Nothobranchius furzeri: one gene and its partners. The protein of the gene in region 3 purifies or fractionates together with the protein of the main gene of each other region. This does not show direct contact. Links are inferred from orthologs where the notes say so. Each region holds a gene or a part of one and is shown on either strand. Other genes may lie near its edges. The genes, in order: dnajb4, lrrk2 and bag5.

Evidence for each region.
Region 1: the proteins of bag5 (region 3) and dnajb4 purify together in Homo sapiens (affinity purification with mass spectrometry; 4 studies listed by BioGRID and IntAct, with this or other methods). This does not show direct contact. The link is inferred for Nothobranchius furzeri from reciprocal best matches to the Homo sapiens genes BAG5 and DNAJB4.
Region 2: the proteins of bag5 (region 3) and lrrk2 purify together in Homo sapiens (co-immunoprecipitation; 3 studies listed by BioGRID and IntAct, with this or other methods). This does not show direct contact. The link is inferred for Nothobranchius furzeri from reciprocal best matches to the Homo sapiens genes BAG5 and LRRK2.

What each region holds. Positions count from the first base shown.
Region 1 is NC_091751.1:41,966,856-41,976,895, reverse strand, and holds the end of dnajb4 (dnaJ homolog subfamily B member 4), read right to left. Parts: intron 5,019-10,040; coding exon 4,438-5,018; intron 2,810-4,437; coding exon 2,579-2,809; 3' UTR 2,508-2,578; downstream 1-2,507. UniProt on the Homo sapiens protein: Probable chaperone. Stimulates ATP hydrolysis and the folding of unfolded proteins mediated by HSPA1A/B (in vitro).
Region 2 is NC_091744.1:48,418,002-48,429,161, forward strand, and holds the start of lrrk2 (leucine-rich repeat serine/threonine-protein kinase 2), read left to right. Parts: upstream 1-4,692; 5' UTR 4,693-5,130; coding exon 5,131-5,266; intron 5,267-9,622; coding exon 9,623-9,708; intron 9,709-10,017; coding exon 10,018-10,127; intron 10,128-11,160. UniProt on the Homo sapiens protein: Serine/threonine-protein kinase which phosphorylates a broad range of proteins involved in multiple processes such as neuronal plasticity, innate immunity, autophagy, and vesicle trafficking.
Region 3 is NC_091758.1:10,651,512-10,662,671, reverse strand, and holds the start of bag5 (BAG family molecular chaperone regulator 5), read right to left. Parts: upstream 6,583-11,160; 5' UTR 6,549-6,582; intron 6,351-6,548; 5' UTR 6,261-6,350; coding exon 6,208-6,260; intron 4,142-6,207; exon of another isoform or gene 4,006-4,141; intron 608-4,005; coding exon of another isoform or gene 485-607; exon of another isoform or gene 319-484; intron 105-318; exon of another isoform or gene 1-104. Other genes in the region: coa8 (cytochrome c oxidase assembly factor 8), read left to right, coding at 485-607, 6,583-6,780, 7,240-7,303, 7,426-7,516, 7,734-7,854. UniProt on the Homo sapiens protein: Co-chaperone for HSP/HSP70 proteins. It functions as a nucleotide-exchange factor promoting the release of ADP from HSP70, thereby activating HSP70-mediated protein refolding.

The DNA of each region.
Region 1 (10,040 bases), on a different chromosome or scaffold from region 3:
GATAGCTATCGCTCATAATTATGATGTAGCGATGGTATCTCCTTATTATGATTCAGCTATCTCATAATTATGATGTGGCTATCTCATTATTATGACTTAGCTATCTCATTATGATTCAGCTATCTCATAATTATTATAACTATGCGATAACAATATCATAGTTTAATGAGACAGTATCTCTCAATTATTATTATGAGACAGGTACGTCCCAACGAGTGTTGGGAAATGGGCTTCCACATATGCATTGTTACTCAAGCTTTTAAAAAGAAAAAATATTATTCACATCTTTTCAATCAATATTCACCTAAAAGTTCATAGCAATATATCCAAAGGCAAATTTATAACCTCTTTGCTACCATAAATTTAGCATTTTATGCTTTCTCTTTCAGAATTTCTTGGTATTTCCTATTAGAAAGCAATTGTCTGGAATTTTCTCCACAAAATAAACACAGACTTACATGTAAATTACATTGTAATGTCAAATTTAAGATGGTATAAAGGTAATGAAATAGCTTTTGCATTAACGTTTTGACAAAAAGAATAATAAAAATAACCAAAAGTTGTTTTACTATAGTAAAAACATGTTGTAAATGGCCACACTCAGCCTAGCCGTTAGCATGTCATTCTTTTCGGAACTAATCTCTGCTTCACTAAACTAAGGTTGTTCAAAGCATTACAAGGGCCTATTGTTTATACCATCTACAGGGTAAAGTTGTAAAAATCCTGTGGGATTTATTAAATATATTCAGATAACAGACAAATTGCAACTATTAATAAATCTAACAATTATTTCTATAACATAAAACACATTAAATCTTATTTATCCTATTTCTTGTTAGTTTCTGAGGAAAATATTGCCCTAGTAAATAAACTGGAAACTTATATAGGCTTTAAACCAGATCACAAATAGCTGGGTGCTTATAAAAGTAAAGATATTTAAAAATGAAACCAAGAGAATCTGTTGATCATATTTTAACAATGTTATGGTGAAGACACCAGTGCATTGTTCTGTTTACTGGTCAGTATAAAAATGTGTTGCTGAAGCTTCTGCATCTTGTGTTGCTGAAGCTTCTGCATCTTTAGAAACTATTAATCAAATATTGATAGTTTATTGGGGTGATGAGGATAATAGTCTGAATTGTTAGTGTTAATATTGTTATTATTTACATGTTAACTGTCTACATCTAAATTTATAATTCCTCCAAAATGTGGTGTGTTTTATTTTTTAGCCATGTGGACATGTAAACTGGTTAAATCAAATGTATAAATTAACCATTGTAATGCGGATCATGCAGGTTATTTTAGGGTCAGACAATTACTGATTATGGGATTAGAATACAGATGTTTTAAAATATAAATTAACCCCTGCAACACAGGAATATGTGGATAAAAATGACTATTGGGTTTCTGAATATTATTTTGTCATTTTAAATCTGTTTGGTTGGTGGCAGTAACTGTTAGAGGATTACCAGCTGAAAACCTCCCTCACTGAGCAGGTGTGTTTACACTCCACCTGCACTGCATGGTTGTGACTCAGCAGTTACACACACCTTCATCACACAAGGATAATACATACATACATACACACACATATATATATATATATATATATATATATATATATATATATATATATATATATATATATATATACACACATACATACATACATAAACATATACACATATATGTATGTATGTAGATAGATAATACACACACATGCCTATATTACATTTATGATTGGGTAAAGTAGCGCCCCCTGGTGGGAAAGGTGCTTGTATACATTTCCACTCATATCTTCACAACCAGTGACTTAAAATCAAACTCACTTACAGTATTTTGTTTTATTATTATTAATTTCTATACATCAAAAATGTAACTATATACTGTAATTTACAACAACTAAATATTCACATCAGACTTTTAAAATATAGATTCAGTTTCCTGGGCTATAAAGAACCTTTTTTTTTTTTTGCAGTGTTGCTACACAGACTACAAATATTTCTAAGCAAATGAGCATTCTCCTTAAACAATCGTGTTTTATACACTGGTTTACTTCATGACGAAGGATTCTTTGAATGTCTGAGTTATTTTTCAGATGACTTCATAGGAAAACATGCATTTTAAAATTCAAGTGTCAACGGGTAATTGTCCAAAATACACTTTAACTTTCCTTAGTTCCTCTGCCCACAAACAGTAAGAGAGCCTCTGATTCAAAACTAACTAAAATAGTCATAAATGACAGTTTAGAAACCGTTGCTTCAGAGATCAACAGTTTGTCGCTGAAAATTTATTTGGCAAATCCTTTCACAGCCAAAAAGATTGCATTTAACCAAAAGAAAACTTTGACTGGAAAAGTCAGTTTCACATAGCAGTCCAAGCACAAGCAGTCTTTCACTTGCACCTATTACCAGTTTGGCAGCATGCAAATACAAACAGCTCAAAAATAGAAATTGCACATTCATCAGTTGGGAAATGTCAGAACCATCCTTGAGTTAAAGTGTTCCTAATGGATGGGGGGGGGGGGGGGGGGTCGTCACGCCGTGCTCCCCTCTAGGTCGGTCCTTGTCCTTTTGTCCTATGTAGGCAAGTGCCGTTTCAGCACATCCTTAGCGTTGCCAGGCAACGTTTCAGGAAAGTTCACGTCAAACTCCACCACCAGGTCTCCTCTCTGCTCTGGGTTCTTGGGGAGGGGGAGACCTTGTCCAGCTACAATTCTCCTCATGCCAGGCTTGATGACATCTGTGATTTTCATGTTGGAGGTCTTCCCGTCTATCGACGACACGGTGACCGAGCATCCGCACAAAGACTGCAGAGATGAGAATGAAGGTGTTAGTGAGAACTAGCGGGAGACTGAGACCCACAACATCTAAATCAGCATCTTTCCTTTCATATTTCCTTTTGATTCCACATGCAAAACCTGTTTTAGTTCAGTGAGTGACACTTCCAAAGCTGTGAATCCAAAATGAACACTCAGGTTAACAAGAAGACGAAAAAAGCAAGAAGTATTCTTGCGTGATTTAGTTTGACTTCTACAGAAGACTTCTCGCAGCAACATTTTATTTATTTGTTTATTTGTTTGTTTGTTTATTTATTTGTTTGTTTATTTATTTATTTGTGAAGCTTTTACTTCCTTACAAAAATCCTTCAAATTAGCTGCAATTGTAAAAAACGATAAAGATTTACACCAAGCTGGAACAAAAACTGTACCGATTTCAGATCTGGCATCTCAGAAGTGATGATTTTTGTTGTTGTTTGATTAGCAGACGCTCTGATTTGTAGAAAACTTGTCACTGGCAAGTGATTCATTCAAATCCACCTTCTAAACAGAATTTATAGACATAAATGCCCAAATGTTGATATTACGAAAATATACAAGTTCAAAGATGTTGGATTTGGGCTTTAACAGTGACAGTGTGAATTTTCCCTGGCGATAGGGGGCAGTGCATACCTAAATCATTGCAAGGAGAGGTATTTTTGTGTAAAGACCTTACCAATGGATACCCATTAGGGTCAAAAATCCCTGGGAGCGCAACCTTCAGCAAAATGACATCACATCACTCCCTTTCATCACTGGCAACGAGGGAAGAGGTAAATGTGTAAAACAACAACTTTTATGAATGGCCAAAGTTTCGTAAATGTTATGTTACAAATCAATAAATGAGTTTTGTTCTCACGGGCGCCGTAGAAGGAAACATGGCGTCTAATATGGCGTCGCCCAGAGACTTAGACCCGCTCCCATGTATTTTAGACCAGATTTTTTTGGTATAGCTGCCAACAACTGGGCATCATTTTAATTCATTTTCAACAACATTTCGATGGATATTTCCAGAGATTAATGGCAAAAACTACACATTATCACTCTAAGGAAATTATTTCATTTACCTTTTTGCTGCAGAAATGATCAGAATATGTCAAATTATTTCATTATTTCAGTTTTAACCCCATACTCCTCATTTAAAGAGAACTGTAAATGTATATTTAGAACTAAAACGACAAAAATAGGCTGAGTGAATCATGCACCTGCACAGCTGATCTGCTACTGCTGGAACATAAAAGGTCTAATATTAGGAAATGAGACGGTGGGATTTAGAACAGAGAGCTGATGAGGGTGGGAGGGACCACATAAGCACTTCTTACAACGTGTGCATGTGGGCGATCCTGTTTCTGATGGTCCAGATTACATAAGGGAACAGCTGAAATGTGTGTGTAGTTCAGAACGATGCTCATTCAGCATCACTGTGTGTTTTCTGTGCTTTTCGGGCAGACCACCAACAGCTTATTGATCGTGACCAGGTTTCACTGCGTTGGAGCACCAGATCTGAAAGCAGCACCCTCATCTGGTTGTGAACTTGTTCTAAAACTGACTAATCATTCCGTCATCTTCTATTAATAGAACAACAATCAGTTAAAAGGCTAAAATAGGAGCTCTCTCACCTGTCTCAAACTAACACGAACAGGATACACGATGTTAGAGCCTTCTCTCCTAAAGTGGGGGTGGGGTTTGTCCTTAATGACAAAAACGATGTCAGCAGGAATGGCGTTGGGCGACTCGTCCCCCTCCCGCGGGAACGTGATCTTGGTTCCCTCCTTCCAGCCTCGTTTGATCTCAATAGTGAGGATCTTATCCTCCGTTCGCATGGTCCTGCCGTCGGGGTTCAGCCTTTTGCGAGAGATTTTCAACTTCTTAGTGCAGCCCTGGAAGACCTCCTCCAGGGTGACCCTCAGATCATGGATGATGGGCGGGTCCTGCTTCCGGCGCTGCTGACCCCCGAGGCCGGTGTGGCCTTCTCGTGGAAAGCCGTTCATGTTGAAATTACTAAAGGAGCCAAAGGGGTCATTTCCATCCACCTCCATGTCATCGTCGTCTCTGCCATTCGCTTTACGCCCGAAGAACATCTCGAAGGGGTTGGAGCCCCCGAAGAAGGTGGCAAAGGTGGCATGAGGATCTCCGTGGAAGGTGTAGGTGAAGGTAGGGCCCTGTCCATCTGGAGCAGGTCCATTTCCCCCCTTAAGACCTGATGGACAACAGAAAAGACTCGTCAGTAACTACATCAACAATCACCACAACATTAATGCACCTTCAGGTCAAAAGACAAACTTTTAGGATACTACTACTAATACTCCATTAAATTTGAATAGATTTAATATTTAAAGGTGTGTTATGTGAAACACATGAATCTCACTACCGTTGTGCGAGTTCAATGAATGTTGCCAGTTATGGAGAAGCACCAGAAGATTCTAGACGACGAGTCATACACAGTAGATAATTTCAAATTGCTAGTAATTATAAAAGTACTTTGAGCTTATTTTTAGAGCAGACTGTTTGCTTCAAAGTCGCGTTAACTTGTTAGCTCAACATTAGCTTAACTTTAGCTTCTAGCCTTCTTCAACCAATATTAGAATAAAACAAAAGGATGCTGTGGCTTCTAAAGCCGGGCGTACACTGTGCGACTTTTTCACTCGCAGCGTTCAGCTTCAGCTCAAACTGTACGACTTCCTCGCAGGGCAGATCTCACGAGTCGTGTGCTCAAACTGTACGACCCAGTTCTCGCATGCGACCTGACTGCTCACACTGTACGTCTGGTAGCAACACGTCGGCCCTAAAAATGTGCTAAGAATAGCAGTTTTTACTCAACACGTCAGACTTTTTTGTCTTGCCTGTTGTCCTTCGGGAGTGCTGCAGGAGGACACACAGGGATTTATGGGGGTTGGATGAGGAAAACGAAATAAAGAAAGTGAATCTGTGTTTTGTGATCAGTTTAATTTGACATGAACATGACAAACACGCTTTCTTGACAATCTTTGTGAGTAAAAAAAACGTGTAGAAACAAAAACGAACAGCGTGAGTTATTAGGGAAATAGCGAGCGACCGGCCGGCGTTGATGCAGGATTGCGCGCGCATGCGCCGTGAGCGGTTCTGATACTTTTTGGATCGTAGCTGCTCGCAGCTGCTCGCAGCGCCGCTTCAACAGTGCGATACCCTCACGAGGGACGAGCGAAATATTAAACACACCAGAAGTCCCTGTGACCTCACGACTGCTGATCGGCGGCTGGTCACGTGGTGTTAATCGCCTCTCGTAACCCCCTGTACACTACACGACCGCTCGGCGCAAAACTCGCCCCGATGTCGTGGCTTCTCGCACGACTGGAAAATCGGCTCAAAAAAGTGAAAAAGTCGCACAGTGTACGCCCGGCTTTAGGGGTACAAGAAATAACTTCTGGGCTGCTTCTTTTTACTGGCTTAGGATCTTTACAAAACGCTGCTGCTGGTATTAAACTATGAATGCCTGCGCTGCAGCGTTTGCCGGGGTAGACTCTGCAACTCCATAGGCTCACAGATTGTAAACAAAAACTACGTCCCTTTTTGCTTTTTCAATAGGAGAAAAACTGACAATTCCCCAACTGACTGAGAAGGAAATCTGTTTGTGTAACCTTCCTTCCAAAATGAGTTAGACAATAGTGTTTATGATTATTTTACTGTGTTTTTTTTACATATTGCACCTTTAATCTAGTTTATAACTTGAAAATTGGCTTTTAAACATAAATATTACACAATTTAGTCTTCCCGAAGTATTATTTCCTAATTTTGCACACAAGTCAAATCTTTGGACAGAATTCATTTTACCCAAGTCCAAAAATTATGTTTGAAAATATATATATATGTGTTTTTGATGATAAAAATAAAGATTGTTGCTGTTACTGCTAATTAAAGGTTATTTTGTTTGAGGTTATTTTGTTGTCATAAACTAGAGCTTTATATTTTTACCTATTATCACAATCTTTGAGGCATTTTGCAGACTATTTTTTTTTCCTCAAAAGAAAACTTGTTGAAAATAAATATATTGTTTTTCACTCAATCACAAAGCATGTCTAGACATTTTCACACAAAAGAGGAGCACAAAGACCCGGTCTCAGTTCTAATCATGAGGCTCAGCCTTCGTTTTCGTCTCCTGACTAATGGTCTCTCATTTATGAGAGGTATGGAGACTGGGGGGCCAGCTGGAAATTCAAATGGTTCTCAAATCCCTTGTTGAAGGACAAGACAGGGACCGGTGCAGGATACCAAAAGGAAAAGCTTCACTAGAACCTGTCTCACCAAACAGCAATGAAATTAGGACTACATACGCTAGATTTAATGGTGTCCTGTGGTGAAGACAGCTTGTTACACTCCTGATAACATGCAGAAGACACTACCATAGCGGGTTTTGGGGAAAAAATAACTAAATCTGTGTTTAAAAACATAATTTATTTTAAATTAAAGCAAATTACTCATTTTAAATTGCATTAAGTAGACACAGCTGAATCCCAGCAAACCGAGCCTGGTAAAGGACACAAGTATAAATGCATCAAGCATCAAAGCTGTCACCGGCTTATTTTGTGAGAAACTTGCAGAGAGACTGTGGGATGACACTGGATGGGTGGCAAAGTCTCCATTTGGAGCTTTGGGAGAGCAGTGTTGAACAGAACAGCTAGTTCCAAGCAGAGCTTTAAATAACTTCACTCTGAAATGTCATCATTTTGGTTTTCTCTGGGTGATTTTGGGCATTTCAAACTGTTTGATGAAGGTTTTAATCATCAAAGGTTTGAGATCAGCAGAACATCATAGATGGCCTTCAAACATCATTTATACCAGCTGGAAAAGAAAAATATAATCTTTATTACAAATTTGATCAAATAGTCACTTGGAAGAGATCATAAAGAAAATAAAGATTTCTTGACTATTTCCCATAGCCAAACGTAAGAATTCCACAGTGAAATCACAAAAGAGTCTAATGTCTCAATCATGTTCAAAGGAAGGTTATACAGAAACAGATTTTGTTCTCAGCTGGCTGAGGGGTTGTCAGTTTTTCTCTTTTCAAAAAAAGAAAGAAAGCGGGATGTAGTTACTGTTTACAGTCAGTGAGTTTGTGAGGTTGCCAAGTCTCCACTGATTTAACTCTGCAACGCCGGCATTTGTAATTTGACACAGTCCGGCAATGTGCTTCAGAACTGTTTAAAGAAGAAAAGCCAGTAAACCTGGGTGACCCAGAAGTTTTTTCTTGTACCCCTAAGAAGCCACGGCATTCTTTTGTTTTACTCTAATACACCACGTTTTGGTTTTAACTCTGCTTCAACACACCTGATTTCAATCAGCAGGTGACTAACAGGCTTCTGCAGAGCCTGATGAGCTGCTACACTAGCCTGGCAAGCCAGAATAAATAAATGTAAAGCAAGAATTTGGTCTAGTTCGCTAGGCTACTGCTACACACCACTTAATCTAGTGTGTGTTGGACTAGTGAAACCACTAAAACATGCTGGATATTCACCCTTGAGGCCCAGAATTGAATAGCCCTGCTCTAGAATCTCTAGTGGCTAACGTTAAGCTAACAAAGCTAACGGTGAATTAGAAAAAAATGGACGGCTCTGAAAATATCTCAAGCAACTTTTTCAATAACCAAATACTCAATATTACTGTGAAATTTATGTGTGACGTGCAGTGCTTAATTTGGAAATCAAACGTTCCTGGAATGCAAATACTGACGTCAAACCAAAGTTCACTAAAGGCAAAATGTCACAAGCGTGCCGGTGAGTGAAATGGAGGTGAGGATCCACACGCGGGTGAGGAAGGAGGCAGGCAGGCAGACAGGAACATTTAAAGGGTTTTAATGAGACACGCAGGACAATGAAACAATGAACCAACCAGACAAAATGGACTAACAGGGTTTAAATACAGGAGGAGCTGGGACCTTGGGTGATTGGGAGACGAGAGGCAGGTGGGAGCAGTTAACATGGACACAGGACTGAACAGAATGGGGAGACAGGACAGGGTGTGACAGTACCCCCCCACCCCCCACCCCCCCAAAAAGGGCGGATTCCAGACACCCACAGGAACATAGAGCAGGGCGGGAGGAGGGGGACCCGGAGGGAGGGCCGAGAGGGACCGATGGAGAGGAGGCAGGGACCAGTAGAGTCCGGGGGCCTGCGCCTGGGGCAGAGGAGGCGACGACAGGCTCTTGGGGGCCTGCGCCTGGGGCAGAGGAGGCGGCAACGACGGGCTCTTGGGGACCTGCGCCTGTGGCAGAGGAGGCGGCGACAACGGGCACTGGGGGCCTGCGTCTGTGGCAGAGGAGGCGACGACGGGCTCTTGGAGGCCTGCGTCTGTGGCAGAGGAGGAGGCGACGACGGGCTCTTGGGGGCCTGCGTCTGTGGCAGAGGAGGAGGCAACAACGGGCTCTTGGGGGCCCGCGCCTGGTGAGGGCAGGACTGGCGGTGACTGGAGGCAGAGACGCCGGAGGACACGTCTTTGACTTCTGGCCTGGAGGCGGCAGCGACGACCTCAGGGCTGGGGGCGGCGGCGACGACCTCAGGGCTGGGGGCGTCGTCGTCGGCCTCTGCGCTGGAGGCGTCGGCGTCGGCCCCTGGGCTGGAGGCAGCGGCGTCGACCTCTGGGTTGGAGGCGGCGGCGTCGACCACGGGACTGGAGACGGCGGCGTCAACCACGGGACTGGAGACGGCGTCGACCACTGGACTGGAGACGGCGGAGACGTTGGACTGGAGGGGACGTCGACCTCTGGACTGGAGGGGATGTCGACCTCTGGACTGGAGGGGACGTCGACCTCTGGACTGGAGGGGACACCGACCTCTGGACACGAGGGAGCGTCGACCTCTGGACACGAGGGAGCGTCGACCTCTAGACACGAAGGAGCGTTGACCTCTGGACACGAAGGAGCGTCGACCTCTGGACACGAAGGAGCGTCGACCTCTGGACACGAAGGAACGTCGACCTCTGGACACGAAGGAGCGTCGACCTCTGGACACGAAGGAGCGTCGACCTCTGGACACGAAGGAGTGTCGACCTCTGGACAGGAAAGAGCGTCGACCTCTGGACTGGAAAGAGCGTCGACCTCTGGACTGGAAAGAGCGTCGACCTCTGGACTGGAAAGAGCATCGACCTCTGGACTGAAAAGAGCATCGACCTCTGGACTGAAAAGAGCTTCGACCTCTGGACTGAAAAGAGCGTCGACCTCTGGACTGGAAAGAGCATCGACTTCAGGACT
Region 2 (11,160 bases), on a different chromosome or scaffold from region 3:
GGGCGGAACCCACCATAAATCATAACCTAAGCGCAAGTTTATCCCACATTTATTAGGATCTCTGACAAGAGCTCAGTATCGATGTTAAATCCGCAAACATGTGAGCCCCCCACCCCCACCCATTTTTTTATTTCTATAAAAAAGTTAAAAATATCAAATCTTTGTCATATTTGACTAATTTTATTCTTCTATAATCCACTGAACAATTAAACTAACATTTCTGATTCTATGTAGGCCGTCTGCCCAACTCCAGTCACTGTCATTGTTTTTCCAAAAACAGGAAGTAAACTAAAGTTGCTTGGACTTCTAACAACTAACATTTAGTGTCTCTGTACTAAATAAAGGATAACTTAAATCCGCCTACCTCAGAAATATAACAGTTGAAAAGTCTTGCAACAGAGCGTGTCTTCTTCACCAAACAGGAAGCCTCTTTAGGATCATGTGATCCTGCTGCCCAGCAAGTGAGGAACACACCCCTGTCGGGGCAGGTCCACCGTAATTTCTCTTGTAGTTGCGCCTGTAAAAATTGCAGGAGGGCTTCCTTGAAATGCAATTACCCTGACCGTGCGCCATCCCGCGGGAGAGGGTGCTCGCTGCAGACCTACAAAGGCGGAGCTGCACCATAAGGTGGAGCTGCACCAGAGTCAGCCCCGCCCATTCACGCAAACTCAGTCTAGCCCACTGACTTCCGTTTTTGTTTTTCCAACTTTATCGCAAACTAACCTGACCCACATGAATTACGGCTGTTACTAGTTTACAGTCGTTAATGCTATGTTCTATGCTTCAATTAAACAAGATAAATATAACTTGCTACATGACAAAGCCTGAATATATCTCGAAATGAAAAGGTTTCTTTTAACGAATATCTACCCACAGCCGCTCCAAGAAAAGTGTTGTACAACAGCATCTGTCATTTACGTACGTGCTCTGGTAGTCCAGTGGTGAGATCGTTTAACTTAAGTTTTGCTTTCCCCTCAGCTGGTGCTGGTTCGATTCTCGGTGAGGTCGGCAACAATCCATTTAGCCAGCTGAAACATTTTAATTTGTTTATATTTTAGTTGTAATGTTTATTTTCAGCAAAATATTTATGTCTCTAAAAGTTCTTTGAATTTGGTCGTTCCTAAACAGTATTTTAGTTGAAACTCTGCTCACAAATGGACTCACACTGGCTAAATAAACAAATAAATAAATAAACACATTAGTCATTATATGTTAAACGGTATACCAGTAAATTGTTGTAAACATAGTACTGGCAAGTGTAGCTAGAAATGAGGAAAAGGGGTTGTAAGCTACCTAATATTTCTGCTAGTGGGAGGCGAACCTGCGCAAAACTGCATGTCAACTTGACTCTATAACCACTACACCACCACATCTTAAAAAAAGCCTAGTGGCGTTATATTTAATTGTCCTATCCAGTGTGTCTTTGTAGATGGTATGTATGGTTTTTCCGGCGGTGTCTCAGAAGAAGTCATTTAAGAAATAATTTGTCAGAAAATTCACAGAATATCCAGATTTGAGAACCAAGACCAGACCCTCTTCGGGGGAGGAGACCAAATTGAAGCTGAGATGGGAAGAAATGCATGAATGAGGCCAAAAATGGCTTTGGCGTGTTTCTTATGAGGAAATGACAATATAACATGATTAAAAGTTCCAAAAGTTTGATTTTTAATTATATGGAACCTTTACAAAAACTGTTCAATTAACTTCTCAACTCCGTCCTCAATTTTTTAGCTATAACACCCTCTTTGGTTCCAGAATGCTATCAAGTCTGACAACTAGAAGGAATTGGACTGACTCTTATGGAATGGGCGGGGCTGATTCTGGAATGGGCGGGGCTGACTCTGGTGCAGCTCCACCTTCTGGTGCAGCTCCGCCTTTGTGGTTCTGCAGCGAGCACCATTTGGGTCCCGCGGTGGCTAATCCTTTTTTGGCAACCAGTCGATTTATGGCACAACGCCGGCAGTCAAATAAGGTCCTGGTCCAACACCTTGGTCTTGTTGGTTAACACACATCAGTGGCGCCCCCAAGAGGTGGCCATGGCCACTCCTGGAAAATTCCCATGGCTAAGGGATGACAGGTGCCAAAAGGACAACTTAATCTAGCACATAAATAAGTAAACAAACAAACAAACAAATCTGAACACAAACTGAATATAAGTCAAAAGTAGAACAAAATCAGAGAATAACACATGCAAAGCATCAATTCTATAAGGATAAAGTGAGTAGGCCCTTGTGTTAAAACTGTTAGCAATTAAAGTCCAGTAAAGGCATACTGAGCAACTTTTTCATATTTTAAATCCTTTTCTTGTACCAGTATGTGCTAAAATGACCCTTTACAGGATTAATGAAAAGTCACGACACCCTCCACCCCTTGTGAGCAGGACACCCCGTTTGCAGCTTCAGCCTACAGACTGCTGCTCTGAAGTCTCACAAAGTCGAATGTAAAGGGAAAAAAAGAATAAGAAAAGGCAATCACGGGATCCTGAGAAAGACAGAAATGGTAGAAACAGCAGCCTGAAGAGAAGCCAGTGAGGAAGAAGAGGATGAACAGAAGGTCACACCAAAAGCGGCACAAAAGGGAAAGGGTGGTGATGAAGGTCACCAAAGCCAGCCGGAACAGATGAGTTTTCAGCTGCTTTTTAACCCTCCAACTGTCTTTATGGGTGACCCTGCAAGAAAAGTTGACCATTGAGCAGGGTTGAAGGTTTATCCCTTGAGGTCCACGTGGCAGGGGTGAGGTGGTGCTCACTCCTCACCCCTGCCACATGGATCCAAGGGATAAACCATCAACCCTGCTCAATGGTCAACTTTCCTCGCGGGGTCACACCCATTAGGACAGTGGGAGGGTTAAAGGAGACCACTGAGTCCACTGATCTCAGGCTCAGGGGGAGAGAGGTCCACAGTCTGGGGGCCACAGCAGCAAATGATCTGTCACCTTTGGTCTTTAGCCTGGTGCTGCACAACCAGTAGGCTTTGATCACTGGACCTCAGGGACCTGCTGGGGGTGTAGGGACTAAGAAGATCACCAATGTAAGATGGTGCTTGTCCATGTAAGGCCCTATAGACCAGAACCAGGATCTTGAAATGAACCCAGAAGTTGACTGGCAGCCAGTGAAGCTGGAGGAGAAGTGGGGTGATGTGGGTGTGTTTGGAGGACTTGGTCAGAAGCCAAGCACAGGCGTTCTGAACCAACTGTAGACGGTTCAGACACGTGAAAAGGGAGTTGCAGTGGGCTAAGTGTGAGGAGATGAATGGTGGATAACAGTCTCAAGTTCAGAATGTGATTCAGCTTAGCAAAGTTCTGAGATGTCTGGTTTTCGTCCAGGTCACAGTACAGAAACTGCACTTGTAAAAATCACCAATGAACTTCTTCCTGCAGCTGATCCTGGTTTACTCTCCATCCTCCTTGATTTGAGCTCAGCCTTCAATACCATCTCACATTCTATTCTTCTATATAGGCTCGCATGCATTGGTATTTCCCATAACTTACTAAACTTTTTCCACTCTTATCTTTCTGACCATTTTCTGTTCATGGAACTCAATCCCTTCAGATCTGCCCCCTCCCCAGTTACTAGAGGCGTGCCCCAGGGCTCTGTCCTGGGGCCCATTATGTCCATTATTTACCTTCCTTTGCTAGGTCACACATTCCAGAAATTTAACATTCAGTTCCACTGCTTTGTGGACACCCTACTTCTCACCTTCAGAGCTGTTCACAATTGAAGGTGCTGAAAACACGATCGAGCGCACAGCGGGGAGATAAGTTTCAGTTTAGCTTTTACGACAATGAATTAAAAAGGACTCTTGGGGGTGCTAAAAGCAAATAAAAACTGCATAGTTTCCCTTGAATGGTTCTGAAAGAGTAACAGTTTCAGTATGAACATCATCCTCAACATCCACCTAATACATTGTTTATGTATTTTGATTATTAAAAGTTTCTTTTTTGTATATAAAACCTAAACATGTAGTTACTCATGATTGAACAAGTCAGAAAATGAATGAAAATCTGGAAGTTTCCTCATTCTAATTCTAGCCTATATGTTAATATGAAATCTGAGTATCCTAAATAATTTGGATTAGTTAGGGGAAATTGTCTTTTTATTGTGGGATTATGACAAAATTGTGGAACACTTCTTTGGATTTTACTACATTTATTGGTATAGCGTTTAGCTAATTCTGTTATTTATGCTGATATATTTATTTGGTTTAATTTTCACTGTTTTACATCCGAAAATAATTCCTTGATTGATTGATTGATTGATCAACTAATTTGATGTCTTTGGACACTGATTTTTGTTATTGTTTTACGCATTTATTACTTAAAATAAACAAAAACGTCTCTGTTTTTACAGTTTTCATCAGTTCATTTATTGATTGGTTTTTATTTATTTATTTTTAGATGTCGTCCTTACGTAACTTTTGGGCATTCCATTATGCCATTTAAATACCGTAACAATGGGCATAAATGTGCAACACAAAATCAAAAGACGGCAGATATTTTTTCAGTGATTTAATAATTGTAACTAAACTTATGTAACATGTAATAGGATGTTACAAGTATATTTACAAATGCTATCCAAGGAAAAATAATGGAATTTCCTGCACAAACATACGATGGGAGATCTTATTAAGGCGTTACGGCGCAAATCAGTGCTGCTTTAGTGGGGCTCTCTCTCTCTCCTAGGTTTATGCAGAAGGTTTACACATCACTCAGAAACGTTACAGTCTCCAGCAGGAACCATACACGCTTGTGTCGCTGCGTCTCCCGTTTCCCCCCTCCTTCATGTCCGGGAAGTTGTTTTAACTCGAGTCATATGATTTGATCTCAGCGAAGCAGAAACACGCCTGCTAACAGAAACAGTGGTCCTTCCCACAGGAAAGAAACAGAAAAACTACGACTCGACGAAGAGGAGCAGACTTTTTTAAGCTGTTAGCTGAAGGGAAGTTAAGCCAAGATGGTGCAGCGTGGGGACCGACACTCACCAACGACAGCCTCGCCTGTAGCGGCTGTGCCATGCTGCTAATGCGTAATATTGGTGCCATTAACAAACAGAAGCACCGCGGGAAGCTGTCGGGTCTGATGAGGGCTGTGCGCTTTTGACGCACGCACGTCAGCCAGCTGGAAATCTTCACCATGGAGAACAAGGAGGAGTTGGAGGAGAAGCTGAAGAAACTTTTGGTGCGACTGAAAAATCCCAAAGAGGACAGCCAGCTGAGCAATCTGATCCAAATCCTCCAGGATCTGCTTTCCCTGGCGCACAGCGCGCACGGTAGGAAGTTCATTGTTTCTGCACCAGGCTGCTGGCAACCCACAGGACTAAGGGCCGTGCTGCAGCACTGATGGACTCCTGTGCCCTCTCCTTAACATGGGCCCTTTTGTGTACAGCACATGAAACACGTTTCACTCCCTTTAGCATCAAATCCTGCACAAGTTAGTTATTTGTGTGTTTAAATGTACCAGCTCTAAAAGGTGTGAAGGAATGCTGCCAAAGATCTAACTAAAACGCCACACTTTGGTGGATAACCATAATCAATGGAAATGTTAAGCCTGCTCCCAGTTGCTCATCTTGGTCGCCATGGTAACCACACATCAGTGAGTCTCTCCTTGAAGGCGAACATGAGGAGAGTCAGAAAGAATATTTTCTAACCGCGAGAAAGTATTCTTAAACTGTGAGTAGCAGAAGTTTACAGTTTGATGTTTTTGCATTGTATTGCTAGTTTGACTAGCTCTAGTTTTTGAGCTAAAGTAAAAACTGGTTTATGGACGCTTGGGTATGCTAGTGCTCTCTGAGAGGATTTGAGATAAAACTGTAAGTCCTACATCAGAATGGGACTCGGAGACAGACGTGTCTGTTTCATGTCATTTGTTTTTGTGCTTGTTTGCAAAAGACATAAAAGCTTTAGGCTGTTGGAGACTTTGTTTGGCATCATGAACAGTTTATTGTTTCATTGAAGAAACTCCAAAGTCATTAAGCAAATGTGGTGAAATTGTGTTTCTACTGTGACATCTACCTGAGCTGTGGAGCTCCAAAGGGGCGGGGCTTGTCTCCGGTCTCACCAAAATCCCACAAGCAAAAGTCTCAAAGGTTTCAAATTTAGTTTGCATCCGACAGTCAAAGCGAGCTATTCTCAGCTGACTTGTGTTCATTTGCATGTCTTTTTAAAGCTGTGGTGTTTAAAAAAGGACTAAAGTCCCGATAGCGTCAAGAACAGGACTAACTCTGGTCTCAGCACCTTTAATACAGAAAAGCAGCAGAAAGCAATGCTCTTAAAGGTAGTTTTACCTCTCTGTTCAATAAATCAGCTTTATTTATTAGAGTCAGTTCTTATTGAATAGTTTCTAATCAGAGTGTGTGGTTAGATTCATTTATTCATTCAAAATATACTCATAGATGTCTATGATTGCAATAAACCTTTCTTACGTGTCCTATTCACGTGTTCTATTCACGTGTTCTTACATGTTCTTACGTGTTCTATTCACGTGTTCTATTTACATTTTCTTTTCACTTGTTCTTACGTGTTCTATTCACGTGATCTTATGTGATCTATTCACGTGTTCTATTCATGTGTTCTTACGTGTTCTTACATGTTCTTACGTGTTCTATTCACATGTTCTTATGTGTTATATTCACGTGTTCTATTCACGTGTTGTTACGTGTTCTGTTCCCGTGTTCTATTCACGTGTTCCTATGTGTTCTATTCATGTGTTCTTACGTGTTCTATTCACGTGTTCTTACGTGTTCTATTCCCGTGTTCTTATGTGTTCTATTCACGTGTTCTTACGTGTTCTATTCACGTGTTCTTACTTGTTCTATTCACATATTCTTATGTGTTCTATTCACGTGTTCTATTCACGTGTTCTTACGTGTTCTATTCACGTGTTCTTACATGTTCTTACGTGTTCTATTCACGTGTTCTTACGTGTTCTATTCACGTGTTCTATTCACGTGTTCTTACATGTTCTTACGTGTTCTATTCACGTGTTCTTACATTTTCTTACATGTTCTTACGTGTTCTATTCACGTGTTCTTACATGTTCTATTCACTTGTTCTATTCATGTGTTCTTACGTGTTCTATTCACATATTCTTATGTGTTCTATTCACATGTTCTATTCACGTGTTCTTACATGTTCTATTCACGTGTTCTTACATGTTCTTACGTGTTCTATTCACGTGTTCTATTTACATTTTCTTTTCACTTGTTCTTACGTGTTCTATTCACGTGATCTTATGTGATCTATTCACGTGTTCTATTCATGTGTTCTTACGTGTTCTTACATGTTCTTACGTGTTCTATTCACATGTTCTTATGTGTTATATTCACCTGTTCTATTCACGTGTTGTTACGTGTTCTGTTCCCGTGTTCTATTCACGTGTTCCTATGTGTTCTATTCATGTGTTCTTACGTGTTCTATTCACGTGTTCTTACGTGTTCTATTCCCGTGTTCTTATGTGTTCTATTCCCGTGTTCTTACGTGTTCTATTCACGTGTTCTTACTTGTTCTATTCACATATTCTTATGTGTTCTATTCACGTGTTCTATTCACGTGTTCTTACGTGTTCTATTCACGTGTTCTTACATGTTCTTACGTGTTCTATTCACGTGTTCTTACGTGTTCTATTCACGTGTTCTATTCACGTGTTCTTACATGTTCTTACGTGTTCTATTCACGTGTTCTTACGTTTTCTTACATGTTCTTACGTGTTCTATTCACGTGTTCTTACATGTTCTATTCACTTGTTCTATTCATGTGTTCTTATGTGTTCTATTCACATATTCTTATGTGTTCTATTCACATGTTCTATTCACGTGTTCTTACGTGTTCTATTCACGTGTTCTTACATGTTCTTACGTGTTCTATTCACGTGTTCTTACGTGTTCTATTCACGTGTTCTATTCATGTGTTCTTACATGTTCTTACGTGTTCTATTCACGTGTTCTATGCACGTGTTCTTACATTTTCTTACATGTTCTTACGTGTTCTATTCACGTGTTCTTACATGTTCTATTCACTTGTTCTATTCATGTGTTCTTACGTGTTCTATTCACGTGTTCTTACGTGTTCTATTCATCTATTCACGTGTTCTTACGTGTTCTATTCACGTGTTCTATTCATGTGTTCTTATGTGTTCTATTCACGTGTTCTATTCACGTGTTCTTATGTGTTCTATTCACGTGTTCTTACGTGTTCTATTCACGTGTTCTATTCACGTGTTCTATTCCCGTGTTCTATTCACGTGTTCTTACGTGTTCTATTCACATGTTCTTACGTGTTCTATTCACGTGTTCTATTCCCGTGTTCTATTCAGGTGTTCTTACGTGTTCTATTCACGTGTTCTTACGTGTTCTACTCACGTGTTCTATTCACGTGTTCTTACGTGTTCTATTCACGTGTTCTTACGTGTTCTATTCACGTGTTCTTACGTGTTCTATTCACGTGTTCTTACGTGTTCTATTCACATGTTCTATTCACGTGTTCTTATGTGTTCTATTCACGTGTCCTATTCCCATGTTCTATTCACGTGTTCTTACGTGTTCTATTCACGTGTTCTTACATGTTCTTACGTGTTCTATTCATGTGTTCTTACGTGTTCTATTCACATGTTCTATTCACGTGTTCTTACATGTTCTTACGTGTTCTATTCACGTGTTCTATTCACGTGTTCTTACGTTTTCTTACATGTTCTTACATGTTCTATTCACGTGTTCTTACATGGTCTATTCACTTGTTCTATTCATGTGTTCTTACGTGTTCTATTCACGTGTTCTTACGTGTTCTATTTATCTATTCACTTGTTCTTACGTGTTCTATTCACGTTTTCTATTCATGTGTTCTTATGTGTTCTATTCACGTGTTCTTACGTGTTCTATTCACGTGTTCTTACGTGTTCTATTCACGTGTTCTATTCCCGTGTTCTATTCACGTGTTCTTACGTGTTCTATTTACGTGTTCTTACGTGTTCTATTCACGTGTTCTATTCACGTGTTCTATTCACGTGTTCTTACGTGTTCTATTCACGTGTTCTATTCCCGTGTTCTATTCACGTGTTCTTACGTGTTCTATTCACATGTTCTTACGTGTTCTACTCACGTGTTCTATTCACGTGTTCTTACGTGTTCTATTCACGTGTTCTTATGTGTTCTATTCACGTGTTCTTACGTGTTCCATTCACCTGTTCTTACGTGTTCTATTCACATGTTATATTCACGTGTTCTTATGTGTTCTATTCACATGTTCTTACATGTTCTATTCACGTGTTCTTACGTTTTCTATTCACATGTTATATTCACGTGTTCTTATGTGTTCTATTCACGTGTTCTATTCCCGTGTTCTATTCACGTGTACTTACGTGTTCCATTCACGTGTTCTTACATGTTCTATTCACGTGTTCTTACGTGTTCTATTCACGTGTTCTATTCACGTGTTCTATTCCCGTGTTCTATTTACGTGTTCTTACGTGTTCTATTCACGTGTTCTTACATGTTCTATTCACGTGTTCTTTTCATGAGTTCTATTCACGTGTTCTTAGGTGTTCTATTCACGTGTGTTTTCATGGCCATTTAAAACAAAAATAGGTGCTCCGGTTTATCACATGTTGTCTCTTTTGCTGATCTTTGTTGCAGCAGCTGAGCTGTTTGAGGACAAGAACGTTCACCTTCCCCTCGTGACGGTGCTGTCATCTTACATCAGCAGCAAAGGAGTCCAGCAGGTAATCTGCCCCCCCCCCCCCTTACAGGAGGAGGTTGTTCGTGCTTAATGTGGTTAAAAAGTAACCGCCAGTGGCCCGTCCACCCGATCCACCGTGTTTATGACGTCTTGTGACTGTAATGCGTTCTGGCTTATGAGAAGTTTACAGCATGTTAAAACTGAAAGCCACATTATGGGATGGAATATGTGTTCAGACAGGAATGACTGCTCTCAACATGCCTCTAGAATGTGTTTCATCTGATTCTGCTCTCATTACGTGTCAGTTTGATTGTTATTGTTCAAATCAAACGTGAGGTTTTTGTTTGGACAGGAGGGCTGGTTGCTGCTGTGTAAGCTGATTGAAATATGTCCCAGAACGCTGGAGCATCTCAGCCAACCTCTGGAGGCAGCCGTGGACTGGGAGATCCTGGCAGTGCACCAGTAAGTGAAGACTGGTTGGTCTGGTGGTGTCACCTGCATGTTCACAAGTCAGAGACTCTGGTAACATGGAGGTCCTCCTGGTCCCACCACAGACTGACCTGGACTCTGTTATCCAGTTCAGACCAGCTTAGTTCACCCCTGATTTAATAAACAACAGCAGCAGATTGAACCCAACTTCCCTCCAACCCAACCCAACATCTTGAGCAAGCACGTGGCGAAAGTTCAAGACTGGACCTTCAGCGCAACCAGAACCAGGATGAGTGGCCTTTTGCCTCCATGTTTTAGAATCTGCCTCTGAGAGGGGATCCAATTTTAGAAACATTAGCTGAAAATCTTAAAGGGGACATTTAATTATGTTTTTTTATGAAGTTATAATAATTTGAGGTGGCTCGGGCATCTGGTCAGGAGGCCTCCTTGACTTTGGTGAGGTTTTCTGGGCACGTCTAACCGGGAGGAGACCTAAAGGTAGACCCAGGACACGCTGGAGGGACTGTGTCTCATGGCTGGCCAGGGATTCCCCAGGAGGAGCTGGCCCAAGTGGCTGGGGAGAGGGAAGTCTGGGCCTCCCTTCTTAGGCTACTGGCCCCCGTGACCCGACCCCAGATAAGTGGCCGAAAACGGATGGTTGATACAAAACATGTTTATGACAGTCTTGCACTAAATCCCTGTCACATCGAGCAACACCAGCAGTTTTATTCTTGACAGTTTCAGTACCTTCCAGAATGATCCGTTTCAGGGCTCTGTCACTTTAAGAAAACGAGCTGGAGCTAGCCATACCCACCTCCCCACTCAGGCTGCTATGAGCTGAGAAGCTCCTATATCAGGGATAGGTTTATCCCTTTAATAGTGGCTCCTCATGTGTCTGCTATGTCACAATCTGTCCTGTCTCCAGTCTCTGTTCAGTCCTGAGTCTTTACTAATTGCTCCCACCTGCCTTTCGTCTCCCAGTTCTTCCTGTATCTGATCCCTCCCAGTTCTATGTTCTTCGTCTGTTCACTGTTTCAGTGTCTCGCTTGCTCCTCATTAAAGCCTT
Region 3 (11,160 bases):
AAAGCTCAACATTAACGCACCTAACTACCTTCCACGACCCTGCTCCCGCATAATAACTAACACGGAGTTCGTGTTCTCTCAACACGCCTTCGTTAGCAGCATTTACCTCCGTTTTGTCGTGTTACAGAATGATACACTAAAAAAACTTTTTGGAATAAAATTAAATTCAACTGAATGTCAATTAATTAAAACAATGCGTGTGTTTTTTTATGAACGAGGTTAGTATTTTTAACAGCGTATACGTTATTGTTGGCCAACATTTAGAGCACTTCGTTTAGTCACGCGGTACGCACGGAGCAGGAAGGGCGGTGATAGCAGTCTGTGCCGCCTACACAATAATCGGGTATGCCGCTGAAGTATTCCAGCGCACCTTTCCTCCTTTCCGTGACGGAGATTGAAACGGCATCGTGATCGTCGTGTTTGGGTTCTCGAGAGCCTCGGTTTGGTCGGTTCTGTTGGGATTGTGAAGGTTTTGGTGGATAAAATGTCAATTGGAGCAGCTGCGGGACGGTCGGTACATGTTGGTCTGCGTTCATACCGACCTTTACCAGTCAGCCGTCGGTTCTGCAGCTCTGATCCAACACCGTCACGAGACAAACCAACGCAGGTCTGTTTTACATACGTCTGTTGTTCATAACCTTAATAACGCTCTCATAGTTATGAGATTTAAGTTGGAAAATCAGATTATCAAACCGTATCTGAACACATAATTTTATACTCAAAATAACACCAATCTGACACGATCCGTTTCCATGGAAACAGACCTCCGTCTGTTCCCATACAATCATCAGCCAGATGTTTATGACCACTTATATTTAAACAGTAGTTTTTACTTTCTGGTTTAGAACATAGAAGGAAACACATCAGCGCAGTGTTCCCCTGCCCGGGGGCCTCATTTATGAAGCTTACTTATGCACTAAACGGGGTCGGAAAACTGCGTAAGCAACTTTCCACGCAAACTCTGGGATTTATGAAAGAAAACTTAGCGGAAAAATGTGCGCAACTGAGCAAGGACTTGGCTTACGCACATTTTGGACATGGAGAGCACCTGCAGTGCTGCTGCTGAGAAGGATACAATTATGAATTTCAGCAGCATTATCACTTGTACTGCTTCATTTTCACACAGAACAAGACCCCCCCCCCCCCCCCCACCCACCCACCCACACACCCACACACACACAGCCTGAAGCGCAGAATACGGAATGCAGAATATCAGCAGGGGGACAGATTGAGACAGAATGTCATGCGTCTGTGACAGTGTGTGTGTCCTGTCACTGTGACCTGATTGATCATGCGCCCTGGCTACTTGGACAGGGGAGATCTCTTTTTGGCTGACTGATTAGCGCGCATGACTTTCACCCAGGATTCTGGGGATCGAATCCCGATTGGACCATTTTTTATATCCGCCACAGATCTCTCTGAAGAACACAACATTGACGGCTTCAGCAACGCTGTGCCACTCTGTGGATTTTCTTTTAATTGTTTTGCAAAAGCACTTCCTTTCATTTCTCCACTTCACCCACAGGTACCTCAACTTCTGCTTCTGTGAAATAGCGCCTCCTTGATCTGCCTTGATCTACGGTCACCATGTCATTTGCGGAGCGCTGCAACAAGCCGGCTTATGTATATGCATGAGATCCACAAGGCACTTTGCATTGACTATTTATGGCAGTAAGTGGGCGTGGTGAGAGCGGGATGTGACTAAAGAGCAGCTGAGAAACATTCTCGTTAGTCTCCGATTTATGAAGCGGAGATTGCGTGCAGCTGTGTGTACTCCATGTTTGATAGATCACAAACCTGCTTGGTATAAGTACTTTTTTTGCTGAGCTTAAGTACGATTTTAGTAAGGATTCTACGCAATGTTTGATATATGAGACCCGTGGCCCTCAGGCCCAGTCAAACACCTGTTTCCCTGCTGCCACACACACACCTGACTGACGAGTGATTAACATGCATCTGCAGCACTTGGGAAACACTGGGAGGGGTTAAAGGTCATTTCCAGGCGATTTTGAGTCGGCCATTCTCCAGAAAGATAGATTATTCCAACTTATTGACAGGAGTTGACATCCTGGGAAGTTCATCAGAAGGTCATCAGGGAAGGCTCAGATAAACTTCCAAGAGCTCCATCTCAGAGTCCAGGGGCATCAGTTAGCAGTTTAAAGGTTAAAGTACCTGACAGAAAACCAGAAATGACTTCACAAACATTTCCTGTTTGGACTGGTTGTGGGACATGGTCTTTTCTGTCCTACATGACAGCTTGACTTAGGTTTGAGGAGTTTTATCCGAATGAACCAGAAGACCTCTGGATCACTGATGTGTGGACACATAAAATCGGTGTAGACGCTTACCCATAATTCACCTCAGTATGACGAGAGAAAGCCACACAGCTCATACTAGCTCTCAGTATGGATGTGGAGGCTGATGGTTCTGGCTCCATCATGAAGTCTCCAAAGTCACCTAAGTCTTCCAGACTCAAGACATGAGTCCATCGGTCTGACAGGTGAGGTTTGGACCAAGCTAAACAGAACCACGATCCAAAGACAGCAGCAGATCTACTAAACTGTAGTGATGAAATAATGTCCAGACCCGAACCTGATTAAAATTCTCAGATGGGACCTTAAAGGGGCATTATGGAAGTCTGACAGCCAAAACATGTATAGAAATAATAAATGTCTTCTTCATACATTCTCCTGCAATGCCCTGGTCCTGTAGAATGAGCCCTGGCATTTTTACTGTGATTGCCTGTTTTTCTGTAAAGTCACTGAAAAAGAGAGATGCTCGGGTCGAGCAGGCTGCTTCATGCGCGTTCACGCTCAGGCATAGCCCGTAGCATTTGCTATCCGTAGCTTTAGCAGCAGAGAGAGAGGCAGTGCCATTTTGTCGCTGTTCCTAACGCCTAGTGATGAACCTAGCTACATTTCTGAGGACCCTTAGCTACTTTCTGTAGAACTTTTTTCTAGATATTTTCTGCAAATTAGCAACAAAATAGCCATTTTCACTCCGAACCGTTCTTTGAACGTTGTTTTAGCTGTCATCAAGGATATAAATGTTACAGATACTGAGGAAGTCACTGGCGCTTTAGTTCACCTAGTAAGATGTCTGACTCTCGTGCAGAAGACCCGGGTTTGATTCCGGGTGTGAACATAGTTCATTTAGAGTTTATTTTTTACATTAATGATATATTTTTTTACAGTAAGATGCCCACATTTTTATTTGAGACTCATCGAACAGCATTGAATTCACAGATAAAAAAGATGTGGGTTCAACTTTCATTTTGGAACAATTTTTCAAGCAAGGGAAGGGAATGATCTGAGCATGCAGGAGGACTGACCCATCATTAACCTTTGTCGGCTGTGCTGAAGAGAAAGGTACAGAAACAAAATATTTAATTAATTAGCTGCACTCTGTCCTCCGGGCCACACAAACGCACGCACACACACACACACGGTATTTTCGTTAAGGAGCGTGCACGTACAGCATGCGCGCCTCGTGCACAAGCCTACTATTGAAGCTGCCGTTACGCTTTTGGCCTGAGGGGGCAATCACGAGCATAAAAATTCAAAACTCTGTAAAGTCCCTTTAAGAGAACTCAGCAGGAACACATGTCTGAAAACCTCAATGAACCGGAACAGCGGAATGGACCAGAACTCCCCCAGAACCTCAACACAACGTGTTCCACACTACAGGCACATTTTATTTAGGAGACAGACTTTTTGCTTTTACTTAAACTCTAGATGGTGTCTCTGGTCTCAGACACCTGATGAGATGTACCAGGTGAGCCCAATTAAGGAGAAACTACTGAAAAGGATTTTCCATTTTCAACCAGCTTGGCAAGAAAAACTATCTCTGCCTCTGAAAAGCATGAAACAGTTGAATGCCTTGGGTAAGGTATGAAAACCTTCGATATTTCACAAAAACCAAAGTGTGGGCAGAAAAAGGAGAGAATAACCTTAACTCTAACCCATGACCACAACCCTATAGGAAGCTTTTGCAACATCCTCTAACCTTTGTGGACTGCAGAGGCAGATCTCATCCAAGTAGGAGGTCTGGGAGGTGATTCTGACTTCCTGCAAAGAAACTTAAGCAGAAACTCTCCAAAAACTCAATGGATGCAAGAATCGTAATGCAACTATCAAACGAGAGGCCCTGTGTTAAAATGTAACCACACCTATTAGGATGGTTTTAACTGAAATAGCTTTTGATCTCAGTGAATATGGCCCCGATCCGACAATCAGCCATCTTTAGTTCCAGGGATTGTAATTCTGAATCATTAGATTTGACTGACGGGCTCTGACGCTCATGGTACCTGTCAGTCAAATCTAATGATTCAGAATTTCGATTAGGGATGTAAGAAAATATCGATATGGCAATATATCGTGGTATTTTTTCCTGCAATGGTTGTATCGATATTCAAAAGCCGTGTATCTAAATTTTGAGAGAATTTATTTACATGCAAACATTTGTCAAAAAATTTGCATATTGTGATAAAGTTCATTATTGTCAGTAATGTACTGATAAACATTAGACTTTCATATATATTAGATTCATTACACACAACTGAAGTAGTTCAAGCCTTTTATTGTCTATAATATTGATGATCTTGGCATACAGCTCATGAAAACCCAAAATTCCTATCTCAAAAAATTAGCATATCATGAAAAGGTTCTCTAAACGAGCTATTAACCTAATCATCTGAATCAACTAATTAACTCTAAACACCTGCAAAAGATTCCTGAGGCTTTTAAAAACTCCCAGCCTGCTTCATTACTCAAAACCACAATCATGGGTAAGACTGCCGACCTGACTCCTGTCCAGAAGGCCATCATTGACACCCTCAAGCAAGAGGGTATGACACAGAAAGAAATTTCAGAACGAAGAGGCTGTTCCCAGAGTACTGTATCAAGGCACCTCAGTGGGAAGTCTGTGGGAAGGAAAAAGTGTGACAGAAAACGCTGCACAACGAGAAGAGGTGACCGGACCCTGAGGATGATTGTGGAGAAGGACCGATTCCAGACCTTGGGGGACCTGCGGAAGCAGTGGACTGAGTCTGGAGTAGAAACGTCCGTAGCCACCGTGTACAGGCGTGTGCAGGAAATGGGCTACAGGTGCCGCATTCCCCAGGTCAAGCCACTTCTGAACCAGAAACAGCGGCAGAAGCGCCTGACCTGGGCTACAGAGAAGCAGCACTGGACTGTTGCTCAGTGGTCCAAAGTACTTTTGTCGAATGAAAGCAAATTTTGCGTGTCATTCAGAACTCAAGGTGCCAGAGTCTGGAGGAAAACTGGGCAGAGGGAAATGCCAAAATGTCTGAAGTCCAGTGTCAAGTACCCACAGTCAGTGATGGTCTGGGGTGCCATGTCAGCTGCTGGTGTTGGTCCACTGTGTTTTATCAAGGGCAGGGTCAATGCAAATAGCTATCAGGAGATTTTGGAGCACTTCATGCTTCCATCTGCTGAAAAGCTTTATGGAGATGAAGATTTCATTTTTCAGCACGACCTGGCACCTGCTCACAGTGCCAAAACCACTGGTAAATGGTTTACTGACCATGGTGTTACTGTGCTCAATTGGCCTGCCAACTCTCCTGACCTGAACCCCGTAGAGAACCTGTGGGATATTGTGAAGAGAAAGTTGAGAGACGCAAGACCCAACACTCTGGATGAGCTTAAGACCGCTATCGAAGCATCTTGGGCCTCCATAACACCTCAGCAGTGCCACAGGCTGATTGCCTCCATGCCACGCCGCATTGGGATTCCCGACCAAGTATTAAGTGCATAACTGAACATAATTATTTCAAGGTTGACTTTTTTGTATTAAAAACACTTTTCTTTTATTGGTCGGATGAAATATGCAAATTTTTTGAGATATGAATTTTGGGTTTTCATGAGCTGTACGCCAAAATCATCAATATTAGAAACAATAAAAGGCTTGAACTACTTCCGTTGTGTGTGATGAATCTAAAATATATGGAAGTCTAATGTTTATCAGTACATTACTGACAATAATGAACTTCATCACAATATGCTAATTTTTTGAGAACGACCTGTATGCTAACATCAGTACATTCAGTACCATACCCAGATGCACATTTCTGTTTTTGTGTCCTTTTTACTATTCTATTTTTTCCTAAGTAATGTCCCAGAGCATCATAGTATTCACAGTATTTAAAATGTCTAGAATATTTCTGACAATTATCTGTTTTTTCCGTACCGTTGCGTTGGTCTCTGGGTCTGGGATCGTGTTTTTCTCCTTGCTGCTTTCATCGTGATGCCTGTTTGGTTCTGATAAGCTCGCTGTCGTGTGGCGTTGACTCAGTTCAGCTCTGTGACGTTCATCTGTGGACAGGACCAGCTCTTCAACAGTTAAAGCACAGATAAATGTGTTTAAGCCTTTACTTGTCTCAGGATTAGTAGACAGTTTCCACACCACCCTACTTTTTCATGGTAGGAGACAGAAACAGACACCCTAAATAGCCTCCTAGTGGCTAGCTGCAGCAGCTTGGCTGGAACACGTCTAATTACCGTGTTGGTCCCAGACTGACATTAATTTACCTTCACAGTTTTGTATTTTGTTTTTGAAATGCAGCGGTCCACCTTCAGGCCCAAGCCCAGCTCCACACATGACTGGATCGGTCCACCGAACCCTCTGTCCAATCTGCGTCCCATCGTGTACCACATCCCCGAGAAGGAATCCGATCTGGAGAAGCGGCTGAGGATGCTGAGGCAGGAGACGGAAGACTGGAACCATGAGTTTTGGACCAAGCAGAACATCAGCTTTAGCAAGGTTAAAATGCTGCTTACAATTCTTTGTTGTCACCAGCAGGTGGCAGCAAAGCTCAATGGAGAAAATCCTTTGGAAAGTTTTCTTTGGAGTGAAATGAGTCGATGGTATCAGGTATGGTACAGTGTCCTTAGGAGGCTACGGTCACCTGCCGTACGAGGTCACGTGTTCATATTAGGGAAGTGTAACATGACTTGTGCTTCCAGCTTGCAGGATTTTTACAGGTGCTTGAAATTATAGCAGACGTCGAACAGTCTTATTTCCTTGATGAGACAAAGAACTGTTTTGAGCATGTATGTAAATCAAATCTGGCTGCACAATCCTAAATCTAAGCCCGAACGTGCTTGAATTTGATTAGGCAAAGATGTAATATCAGTGCGACCGCGTTATAAACTTGCCTTTGGATTCATTTGAATAGACAGACTTTTCCAAAAACACAACTGATTGATATAGTCTCTGCAGGAAAAAGAAGCTTTCATCATTTCGCATCTGAAGGCCAAAGGTTTGACTCTGCGTGACGAAGACGGTGAGGCTTCTCATACATATGTTCTGGTGTTTTTTACACAACAACGAAATGAAACTGAAAATGGAGTCAGGACTGTGAAAATGCTGAATGAAATCCACTTTGTGTCGGTTTGCTCCGCTCAGGAAGACGGCGGTCCCTGAACAGCGAAGAGATGGCTCTGTTTTACAAAAGCTTTTTGGACCAAAACAAGCTCCGACATGCAAATTATAACAGGTGAGTTGTTTTTGCGTCGGGTGTCGTTCCCCCCCCCCCCCACGCACACCTCTGTGGAGCTTTTCTCATAACGAGCTGCTGCGTGAGCCGGACACTTTGGACGTTTATTGTCAGTGTTGTTTGTGTTCAGGCTTTATTAGTTAAAGCCCAGGAAAAACCTCCACAGCATCATCAAGCTTCATCGTATTTATTATTTGCTGTCTCCTCCCCAATCCAGGGAGTGGTACCGACGTAACTTCAGCATCACGGTGCTCATGGCCCGAGTCGCTGTCACCAGCATGTGGAGGACTTTTACCGAGAGGCACCACAGGAAGAACAAAAGCTCTCCGAACACCTGACCGCATCATCCTGTTCAGTTTCATTAATTTTAGCTGCTGTCTAGACCTGCAACTACAAAGTTTGAGGTATTTATGAGTGACTATTTAAGAAATGTACAGAGAAGTTTCAGGGACATCACGTAAGGTTCTGAATGCTTTTGTCATTTAAAACACAGAAGCGTGCAGGGCTCCTGCTGCTTAGAGTGCTTGAGCAGATGTGAGCACAATAACATTTATAAATTCATGAAGGTCTCATTTGTTTATGTGCACTATAACAGGAATGCATGAGTTAGACAGCTGCTTTCTCATAAATAAAAATGTTTTATTTGTTTAATTTTAAGGGTGTTTTTTGGTGCAAAAACCAAAATAAATAGTTTGACTCAGACTTTGACCCGCTTCAGATTCATAATGATGCTTTAATCCCCGACAACCAGACCAGTCGCCTTGGCCCCACAACTGATGAGGACTAATGGTAAATGGTAAATGACCTGTATTTGATATAGCACTTTCTAGAGTCCTGGAACCCCCCAAGGTGCTTTACAACACAATCAGTCATTCACCCATTCACACACACATTCACACACTGATGGTGATGAGCTACGATGTAGCCACAGCTGCCCTGGGGCGCACTGACAGAATCGAGGCTGCTGAGCACAGGCGCCACTGGTCCCTCCGACCACCACCAGCAGGCAAGGTGGGTTAAGTGTCTTGCCCAAGGACACAGCGACAGACAGTGGGGCTCGAACCTGCAACCTTCCGCTTATGGGGCGAGCACTTAACTCCAGTGCCACCGTCGCCCACTAGAAGTGGGGGGGACACAACCGGGGGGGGGGGGGGGGGGGATGTCAGGATTTTTACAGTAAGTGTAAAACTACAGCCTAGAGGCTGTATGCAATGTTGGGACTGCAGAACTGTCAAGTACACAGGTGGCAGGAACAGCCAATCACACGTTACTTAGTGTCAGCAGAGCCAATAGATGAGCTTCTGGACGCTTCAACACAAGCGGTTGTTTTCCTCTTGGTCCTAATGCTAACTAGTGTCTGTTTAATATAGCGGAATGCAAAAGTGCAGGGGACAGAAATTTACTTTGGAAAAATGGGGGGGGGGGGGGGGGGACGTGTCAATGATGAAGAGGCTCATCCTCACCCATCTACGCTCGGTGGTGAGCCTGGATATAGACCCACTGCAATTTGCATATAAACCAAACATGGGGGTGGAGGACGCATTCATCTACCTGCAGCACCAGGCTCTGACTCGCCTCGAGATGTAAAACAACCAGTGTGAGAATCGTGTTCTTTGACTTCTCAATTCATTGAACACCATCCATCTGTCTACTGCAGCAGAAGATGAGGGGTGCAGGAGTGTACAAACATCTGACTGCATGAATCATCAACTACCGCACCAACAGCCCATGGTATGTGATGCTGCACAACTGTACATCTGAGGTGGTTGTGTGCAGTATTGGAGCTCCTCAGGGTTCAGTGCTCTCTCCCTTTCTATTCCCCTCCTACAAGTCGGTCTTCACCTACAACACCAGCAGCTGTCACCTCCAGAAGTTCTCTGATGACTCGGCCATTGTTGGCTGTGTGTCTGAGGGGAATGACCAGGAGTGCAGGTCAGTCATCATGAACTTTGTGGACTGGTGTGAGCGTAACCACCTTCGCATGAACACCAGTAGGACAAAGGAAATGGTGATTGACCTCCAGAGAATCACTCCTCACTCACAAGTAGGGCTGCAACAAACGATTATTTGGATAATCGATTAATCGGATGGGGTCTCGACATGATTAATCGATTAATCGGATTACATGGGGAAATTTTTAAAAACTGCTAGGGAAACGTTATTTCTCTCCTTCCTTCACTTTATTTAACACAACATTATTAGAAAACAGTTCAATAGCAGAAAAACAACATGCCATCACCTAAATTGTCTTATAAGGTGTATAGACAGAGACCCTATAAGCTACATCTATCTGTGACCTAAAATGCTTGGTCCAAGTTAAACAGCTTAAGGGCAATTGTCATCTGTTTTGTTTGATCTCATCTGTTGACATTTATTATAACTGGGGATGTCAAACAACTAATTTTTAAATGTAATTAAACATAGGCTGTGAATTAATCAAAATTGATCACTATTTCCAAAAATGACTGAAAAAATACCAAATAAAACAAAAGTAAATGAATGCCATTCTCCTTGTGATGATGCCCTGGGCAACTGCCATAAAGTCACATCAAGAAATGCTGCTGATCATGCCAATGATCCCAAATAGACTCACATTAGGCCACATGAAAGCAACTGAACCCAAAAATATATTAACCAGTATATAACTGCACTCTCACACAACACGCCTGCAGCAACAGTTAGGACTCCTCCCTCCCTTTTAAAAGCGTTTTTGCTTCTGAGGACATTGTGGTTGTAAAGCCACATGCTAGTAGTCTGGCCCCGGTGTGATCAACCAGTTTCTGCGGGAATGTGACGGCGGAACCAGGGCCAGATTAACACTTTGTTGTACCCTGGGCAACAATATTCAAGGGCTCCATCATCACGACCCGAGGATCACCATAATGTGGTCACATACAGAATATTTTACTGTAATATGCAGTAAATATACTCAATACTTGAATGCCTGACAACACGTAACCCGCTCAGAGTAACCTTTGACCCACCTCGTGTGGACTGACCAATGAGGAGAGGGTCTTAACTTGAGGCCCTCTCTTCATTGGTCAGTCTGCATGAGACTGACTCTCAACTGACGTTCAGTCGTAGGCAGCGAAGCGTCTCTGTGCAGCGCAAAAGCCCGGGTGGACAGTTTGTTTAATGTAGGGTGATCATATTTCCATTTCCAAACAAGAGGACAGGGGATCTGTGCCTATGACGTCACACTATGGCAACGCCACACAAACCATGTTGGGACCCATTTTTTGTAAGAACTAAATTAATATCAGATTCTGCCAATAAAAGGGCTCTAAAACAATTCATATGTAAATATTTTGCATATTTAATGCAAAATCTCATTTTTCTGCTTTAGTGCTGCAACAAGGTTTTATTAATAATAAATTACTATACCTTTTGTTTTACTACAGCATCGGTAAGCTTCCTGTGCACAGATTATTAGGATGCTTGTTTCAGCTGTGAGATTAGACGATAGGGTCAATGAAAAAATAAGTTGTCCCACACTCCATGGAAACTTTCAGAGAATCCACTAATAGTGGCTTTCACACGGTTTTGTTACTTTTAGCAAGTTTAGAAAAGCAGCAGATGAGACATCATGTCTGATAATTTAGTTTTTCATCTGATAATATTAGAACATGTCAGTAATGTCTGAG